Drosophila melanogaster: one gene and its partner. The protein of the gene in region 1 purifies or fractionates together with the protein of each later gene. This does not show direct contact. Each region holds a gene or a part of one and is shown on either strand. Other genes may lie near its edges.

Region 1 (4,762 bases):
CGCACGATAAATATTTTACTCCATGCACCATTAATCAAGTATTTCGAAAAACTTAAGACTTGAAAGTAGCCTTGTCAAAGATATAAAGTTGAATACAATACAATCAAAATCTTATATGTTCATATGCTATTCTAAATAGACTATGGTATCAAAGGTCACAACGAAATATGATGAACAATTACAATTTTAACGCATTATAAAGTCCAATGATATGCGTTGAGATAACCTTATTTCATCAATCATTAACAAATAACCCAACACAAAAAGGCAGCTTCGAAATCGCCGGGTTGACACATGGTGCAGCCCACAATCGGTTGGCATATCAGTTGTTACTGCAAACAAACTGATGCATATCCGACCAGTTGCCTCAACGGCAACAAAAGCTGACAACGAAAAGTTTGTTCGGTTTTCCCAAAATGCAAACGCCATGGGAAAACTAAGTCGAATGCACCAAGCTGACTGGCGAGGAGATTCATTGTTTCGGATCTCATTTTGGAGCCCAGCTGCCTTGAACCCGCTCTAAAGATGCATTCAGCTGTTGTATACAATAAAAACTTTATTATTCTTCGCTTTAGCTAAAAGTCGTTTGTACATAAAAATGTTACACATATTATTGTATATGGGACGGTAAAAGACGTATGTATTGCTTTAATACATTGCTAAATTCTCGGTTTAGAAAATGTTACAAATACGTGCAAAGGACGGATGATTAATACAGACCTAATTGTTACCTTTAAAAGAAGGTAACTTGTGCGGAATATTCGAGTTCAAAAGGGAATGTTTTGTTCTTAAAACTAATGGGCGGAGTTTCGCTTACCTTTCTCTGGGTCACTTAATTAAGGCACTAGCTTAGCTGAAGTTTATGCAATTCAATGATCTCTATGGTTAGTCGCAGGTCAGTCGTTCAGGTATGTTTATAACAATAATTTGTTTTCAGGCACTACGAACTACACCATAATAGTTCTATCTAATTAAGGCACGAGTGTAATATTTCGATGCTAGTTCCGACTAGCCTGCGACTTTTGCTAAAGAAAAAAATAAACGTACAATTGCGGAGGGGTATGCTCTTTGTGTCTGGGCGTTAATTGAGCGAAAATTGATATGCAAATACTGTAGAATACTCTACATGAACATGAGTCATCTAGTTGAGCGTCTTCGTTTGATGTTAGCTGTGCTTGGTTCTGGTTTTCATTCGGAAAAACATTCAGTCTTCTCTTGGAACTGATCTGGTCGATTGGATGGATGATTATAAGTACCAAAAACTGAAAGCTTGTGAATCGGTGCGGCCGTCAATTGCATAAACTTTTTAAATTAAAAACTACGAGTACAGTCGAACTTCTCTGAACTAAAATTAATTTCTTTAGGTATGTTAGAGAGAAGCGATGAATATATGGCGAAAATTATTTTTATCCAAAATAACTTTGGTTCGTTAAAATTTTTCGAAATCTCCGCCAGTTGGGGAGTTATTTAAACGATTTAAGGTAATATAAAACGAATGTTACCGACATGAATACTTTAACCTATGCACAGGGAAACCATTGAATAAAATATAAAACGAACATAAACCAACTTTAAAAACGTGCACTACCAGAAACTGTTAGTTAGAATATTTCGCCTTAGAGAAGTTCGACTGTAATGTTTAGGGTGAGAATTCTTTGAGGGGACGGAATGTTTTTGTTTTGTTTTCCTCTTGGTTGGCTTGTGTTTTCCTTGGTGCAAGTGTGCCAGCTGCCACGGCTAAAATAGACAATGCAAGAAGGTTAAGCGACCGACCCTGACTTGGATATAGTCAAGTACTTACCATCGACTATCCGCGCACCAGCTCAAATCGCGTCTGAGATTCCTTGAACTGAATTCTCTTCTTGTGCTGCACGTGGGCTTCACTGAGGAACAAAGTAGACGCCACCAGGGTTAACACAGTACCCACACACGCCAGGATAAAGGACCAGCCAAACCAATTGTTCGCATGCTCCGGCATCCAGCCATTCCGGTTGCCAAATCCAGCGAATACAATCACTGCAATGGCTGCACTTACTCCAGCACCGAGAAGCACATATCCCAACGATTTAATGAGCGTAATGAAGTGCTTTTGATCCGGACCAGCACACAGGATGAAGACCAGTACTCCGATGGCAGATACCAACATCCCGATGAAGGCCAAAGTGTAGAAGAACTGAGTGGCTATCATGAAGGCGGGCAGCAGGAATCCACGGATCTCATCGTAACCCGTGGTAAATGGGTCATACACCCAACGGCAGCCCACGAAGAATCTCCGCTGGCTATCGTCGTTCACGTCCGGCAGCGACCGGAAGCAGTGCACCCACAATCCCAGGCGATCCAGCTTGGCGCCCGTGATGCGGTAATCACTGACCAACCAACTGGGCGTTGCAAACGCAATCACGATGAAGGCAAAGGCGAACACGAAGACGCCAACGCCACAACTTCCGGATAGTGTGCGTCTCTTCATGTTCACTGTGTGACTGTTTTGCGTGTGGCTGGTGGGCAGGTGCTCCTGGGAATCCTCGCGTGCGAAGTGGGATGGTTTTTGCATCCTTTGAGTGGGAAATTCTATTGGAATTTCGCTGGTTTCCTGGGGAAATGTTTGTTTGGTTTGCTGTTTGGGTGTGGACTGCAGTGTGGCCGCACTGGTAATACCGCAGAATACCATGGGGCCACAAAATAAATACCAAATGCTACGGTACCAATAAATTTCAAAACAGTAAATTAAACAATTTAGATTATACATTTTTTAAATTAAGAAATAAATGATTTTAAATTTAATTAATTTTTGATAGATGGCTAAGGTACTTCTTAAATCAAATAAAAAGCTTTTTATATAGAATATAACATATTTTGGTTATATTGTCGATAAAAACTTATACTTAAAAGGCCCAACCGTTGTAAATGCTAATGAGCGTCGTTTCATTCTGGAAGACATGCTCTCCTCAATCGTTCCCCTAATTAAGGGCTGCCACAGCCTTGTGGGCGGCATCATCCAAGTCACTGGCTGTCTGAATGGGCAGGCCCGAATTCTTCAGGATCTCGCGAGCCTGATTTACATTGGTGCCCTCCAGTCGCACAACCAGTGGAACATTCAGTTGCAGCTTTTTGGATGCAGCCACAATGCCATTGGCAATGGTGGCACAATTGACAATGCCGCCAAAGACATTGACCAGGATTCCCTTGACTTTCGGGTCAGCAGTGAGGATCTCGAAGGCTTTGGCCACCTGATCCTCCCTGACGCCACCGCCGACGTCCAAAAAGTTGGCGGGCTCGCCTCCATTCAGCTTGATGATGTCCATGGTGGCCATGGCCAGGCCGGCACCATTAACCAAGCAGCCAATGTTGCCATCCATGGCGACGTAGTTCAGATTGTACTTGGCCGCCTCCACTTCTCGGGGATCGGATTCCTCCTCGGTGACGTCCATGGAGAAAATATCCTTCTGACGGAACTGGGCATTGTCGTCAAAGTTGAGCTTAGCATCAACGGAGATAACTTCTCCCTTATCCGTCTCCGCCAGCGGGTTGATCTCGATCTGTACGGCATCCACAGCTTTGAAGAGAGTATAGAGTTTTTGAATTTCCTCAGCACAACGCTTTACAGAGTCTCCCTTGAACTCCAAGAACTTGGCCACCTCCAAGAGCGTCGACTCCGGTATGGGCTTGCCAATGTCTAGCGGAACAGTCTTAATTTTCTCAGGGGTTTCCTCGGCCACCGCCTCGATATCCATGCCACCGGCAGGTGAGGCAATCAGCACGGGTCCATTGTGCTCGCGGTCCAGCAAGATGCAGAGATAGGTCTCGCGGGTGATGTTGATACTGCGTGCCACCATGACCTTGTTGACCAAAATTCCCGATTTGGGCGTTTGTTTCGTTATCAGTCGGTTTCCAATCATCTGCTGGGTAAGCGAAAGCACCTCGCTCTTGCTGGCAAAATGTTAAATAATTATTAGTATAAGCTGGTCTTATCACTTGTGTTTTTAAGGTACACTCTGGCTTTCACAAACTTTTATCATTTTCAATATGGGCAGAATGATAAGATTAATCTTATATACAAATGATATTGTAGAACATAAATAATATTAATTTTTTAGATAAAATGTGAATGTGAATAGCCGGAATAGACCTAATCTATAATACTTGGTGGTGATATGGACGCCGCCTTTGAATCCGTTGTCGAAAGTTCCCTTGCCACGCCCACCGGCGAGAATCTGCGCCTTCACCACGTATTCCGGGCACTCTGAAACACAGAAGCACAGCATTTAACACCAATTAGCCCAGGGATTACATAAACACCGGCATGGTTCCGTCCTCCACTTACCAAAAGTCTTGACGACCTCGGCATCTGCCTTGGAGTTATTCAAGACCTTGAATTGCTGTATGGCCACTCCATACTTCTGGAGGAGATCCTTGCTCTGGAACTCCAGCAGATTCAGGTTGCGCACGGGAACCTATCATCGAAAGATAAACAAAGCCAAGACAAAGGTCACTTCAACTTCTCTTTTCGAAGAGTTGATATATTATAGAGGAATGTGAGTGCGAGGAAACCTTATGAACGATGTGACGGGCTGTGGTAACTGCTTTCAGTAGGAACGACATCTTGGCTGATCTGCGGTGGTAACTGAATACCTTGGCTAACTTGGTATTAATTTATTTTCGTAACTTTGTCGGTAAATTTAGTTTAAAAACACAACCGAAAATCGCCGCCGTTCCACGATGCTTATCACTGCACAATGTGACCAAGAAGCACGACTACTTTCCA
Region 2 (4,182 bases), 1.8 Mb from region 1:
ACATTGAAGGCAATTGGGACAAAAAAGGATTTAACATTTAACGATGCCACGGGCGAGGAATTGCTGCGCTTTTCCCAATCCCTTGCCCCGAGTCTTTGCGATGACTTCGAGACCTTTGTCATGCAAACGAACGTTACCAAGAAGACACCACAGCCGCTGGTGCCACTGCACATCGCCTGGCACAATCTCATCTGCGCCAATCCCCAACTGCACGAAAGTGTACTCACGTACGAACCCATTGATTTGCAGGCAGTTTACTTGCACCTGAAGCACATGGGGCATCGATACGATCCAAAGGACCTGAAGACCTTCTTCGACCGGCGTTGCATTATCTTTCGCTATGAACTGGGTGCTCCCGGCAAGCAAGCAGAGCGTCATGTGCGAAGGCACACAAAAAAGCCTTCTAAAAGGAAGTAGATTCTACAAGTTATGGAATTTCATTGTACTTATACCTAACTTTGAATGCATTGAATTATTTTCTAGTATTTACCTTATATTGTATTATTGAATAAGATATTGTTACTTGGTATTTTGCGATCTAAATTTATTGTATGTAAAATTGATAAAACTCAAATACATTCAACACTTTTGTTTGAAGCATTGTTAACCATTCCTATTTGCCATTTCAAGCTACCCACTAGCATCTACGATTAAAAAACACAATATTATTTTGGGGGCCGTAGATTTATTTGATGCAACTTCAAAATACAATATTACAAAACTAATGGACGAATACAAATGTATAGAGTTTGTAGTAGATACAAGACACTGATATTTTCATACGAGTAGAATATTGGACAACATTAAATGCAGCATCTGTAGACAGACTACCCTAAATGGGTATTAAATGTAAAAATACAATTCGATCTTACGGCGCTAGAAAAGACACTTGGACGGTATAAATTTCTTACGAGTCTCTACGTGAAAGGCACATTGTCAGATTGCGATTAATGGAATGGAATCGGCTCGAACAAAACTGGTTGCTAATGAAACTATTTGTACTGCATGCAAAACTGATATGGTTGGTGGGTGCAGACGGGTTAGTGGGCTCTTACAGTAGCTAGGATTAGTTTTGGGGGGAGAGAGATATATAAGAAGCAATTCGTAGCATTGCCGGCATGTATAAGTATGTAAATTAAAGGCAGGGCTGTCCAAGAAATCACCAACAATACCCATTGGTTGAATGGGATTAATGGGACACCCCTGAACACCCCAATATTAGGCATAGCTAATCTCATGCTCATACGTCTTTCCCCGCAGATCCTCGTCATCGGGAAGCGCATGGTGGCGCAAACCGCACAAACGCGGTCCGTAGCGCAGCATGACAATGATAACGCCCACGATGAACAGGGCGACGGCGGCCACGGCGGGATAAAGGAAGTAAAGAGCCATTGCTACTTAGATGTCGCTCTCGCGCTTCTGCAACTCCACGTATTCCTCGCGCTGGCGCTGCTGGTGCAAAGTGCGACCCTCTGGACGTGGTGGACGCTGGTGCTGCTGCTGGTGATGATGATGGTGCGCCGAGTGCACGGGCTCCAAGTCGTCAACGCCGATGACAACGTCGTCGGGGAACACTTGCTGATGGGTTGTGGGCTAGAAAAAGTAATAGTTTCCAAACAATAAGCCACGATTTTTCGGGCTCTGGCCAAAAAACCGAATACTCACATGGAAGCGCTGAAAGTATGAGGCGTCCTTCAGCTCAGTGAAATCCAATGGCGGCTGATTGTGGGGCGTGGCAGACCAAATGGAAACCAACCAGCGATTGCCCGTGTGCCTGTCCTGCCAGTACTTGCGATGCTTGGAGCAGCAGCCCAAGATAATGTTCAGTATTATGATCGTGCCCAGGACAACCGTGCAGATGGCAATGGTCACATAAAACGGCGAGAAGTTGCCGTAGATGTGGCCGGTGAAGTAGGGATTCTTTTCGTACGCCTTGCGTTCCTCTTCGATTGTGGACATAGTCTTATAGGGGTGTGGTCACTTGCAAGAGCCTCAATAGCCTGCTGCACAATGCTCAATGGTCTGGAGGGCAGGGGAAGAAGAGTGAGAAAGCGGTTCAACCACCACGCTGCATGCCACTTGCACCCCGAAACCAATTGCCACCGATTCCAATTTGTCACATTGGGCGTGGCGTCACCAAAGTAAACTAACTAGCAGCACCAGCAGCTCCCCACTTAGCAGCTTATATGCGGATTGCACTTACCATTTGCGCGCGATTGGTGGTCACTGAGATTGGCACAAGTCCCATTCAGGTGTGTTACACACTTCTGCTCTTAAATGTTATTAATTTCAGCCACTTTGCTGCTACGAAAACAACGCCCAAAAGCCAGGCTCAGTGTGCTAGTGATGGCACTTTGTGGACTCGCCGCATGGTTGCAAGCGATCGATAACCATTCATCGATCGCAAGTGCAGGTTGTGTAAATTTTTTACTGCATACATTTAGACATTAAGTTATTTGTTAGAATTTAAATATATTAAACAATGTTTATAAACATACAATTTAAAAATTAACGTATGTGCTATTTTTGTAACACCAAATTTACATGTTTTAAAACCCGACACGTAAGATAAACAATATTAATCTATATTTTCAAAATTAATGCGACTCGAAGAAAATATCGTGTTCATTGCGTAAAAACAGGCATATTAAACCACCATTGTAAACATGTTAAATTGCGCGTCTTCGTGCCGCTAGTAACATAATCGCACTTGCTTATCAACTATTACAGGTTTCGAAGCAATCCTAACTCAAAAACAATCCAGCTATTCAATAGCTTCAATAGATTTCCCCGATCACTGGTCGTAGGTGAGGAAGTTATCCAACCCGGTGAACTGGCGTGCCAGAGCCCGACCATCGTCGGTGGGCGTACTGAAGGCAATGCACTCCCTAGCGATCTCTTGACCGAGCACCGTGTGGCACTGGACGACTCGCAGCAGCTTGCTGGCGATCCCGCTGCGTCGCTGCAGCGGAGAAACCCAGATGCGTGAGACGCCGCAGCTGAAAGAAGGCACATTTTAGCCGTTGACAAGGGAAGGGGCATGCAGTAGGGGATGTCTTACCTGGCCGGGTAGCTTTCCTCGCTGAAGTAGTCCGTGCCATCGACCTGGATGAAACGATGGGCCTGCGAGAGGGGCTGCACCAGGCAGAAGCCTACGATCTGCTGCTTGCGCACTGCTATGAAGGCTACAAAGATCTTTGGCACAATGTACGAGGAATAGCCCAGCTCTTTGTCCACCACACCAATGAGATCCCGCAGTCTGTCGAGCCGAGCTGTCGGAGCGCGTTCGTTGATCCGTATGATGCGCCCGTCGCTGGCCCATTCTGGATAAACGGACACAATGTCCTCGTCGATCCAGCCCTTGAAGCGCAGCACATGGATGGAATTGTGGTACTCGCGATGAAGCAGCTCCTCCTCCGGCTCGTGCACGGTGTACACCAATCCGCACTGCTGGCACTGCCGTGCTCCGAAGGCCTTTTGACCAGCATCGATCTGGTACTGATTCGATCCACCCGCCGCCGTTAGCAATCTCATCGATGTATCCGGCCGACGCCGCAACGATTTCTGGACAACGGGCTGTAAGCGTTGAGTGAATATGGGGAAAAGCTTTGGCTGAACTTCCTCTACTGCTGGCGCATCCTGTTTTGGTGCAATGGCCACCGCTGTATTTTCCACTGTTTCCATCTGAGCAAGCTGCGCAGCCTCCTCGCTGTTCACCACCATGTATAAATTGTCCACAATTTGATTGGCCTCGTCCTTGTAGTCATCCGGATTTGCAATAAATATCTCAAAGTTCTTTTCGGTGCAAATATTGTTGCTAATGAGAAACTCTAGTAAAATTTGCTGTTGCTCCACGACATTGGGATCATCGGTTTGGTATGGCAAACGTTGACGGAACTCAGCAAAGGGATCAATTTCCACATCGTTCGCCTCTGGGGCATACTCAATTATATCCGGTAGCGACTCCGTTTCCATGGTCGTCTCCTCCGCATCAATGGGCGTTGCCTGTACCACCGGATTCGCTTCTACAATCTCATCAACCACCGTATCGTCCAGATTCTTTAGGATCGCATCCACAGTCGCCTGCTCGGCGGAAAATATCGTGGCCGACTTGACGCGCACTTGCCGCGGCTTACGGCGTATCGTTTGGACGAGTTCAATCTTGCCCTGGCTGACGCTGGC

The links.
Region 2: the proteins of sinu (region 1) and wrm1 purify together in Drosophila melanogaster (affinity purification with western blotting, with the first as the bait; one study listed by BioGRID). This does not show direct contact.

The regions. Positions count from the first base shown.
Region 1 is NT_037436.4:5,558,945-5,563,706, forward strand, and holds sinu (sinuous), read right to left. Parts: upstream 2,655-4,762; 5' UTR 2,552-2,654; coding exon 1,808-2,551; 3' UTR 1,802-1,807; intron 1,738-1,801; 3' UTR 526-1,737; downstream 1-525. Other genes in the region: ScsbetaG (Succinyl-coenzyme A synthetase beta subunit, GDP-forming), read right to left, coding at 2,958-3,927, 4,141-4,240, 4,322-4,451, 4,549-4,599.
Region 2 is NT_037436.4:7,332,877-7,337,058, forward strand, and holds wrm1 (wurmchen 1), read right to left. Parts: upstream 2,351-4,182; 5' UTR 2,204-2,350; intron 2,023-2,203; 5' UTR 1,960-2,022; coding exon 1,666-1,959; intron 1,594-1,665; coding exon 1,399-1,593; 3' UTR 1,393-1,398; coding exon of another isoform or gene 1,219-1,392; 3' UTR 668-1,218; downstream 1-667. Other genes in the region: mus312 (mutagen-sensitive 312), read left to right, coding at 1-417; wrm2 (wurmchen 2), read right to left, coding at 1,219-1,392; eco (establishment of cohesion), read right to left, coding at 2,795-2,999, 3,062-4,182.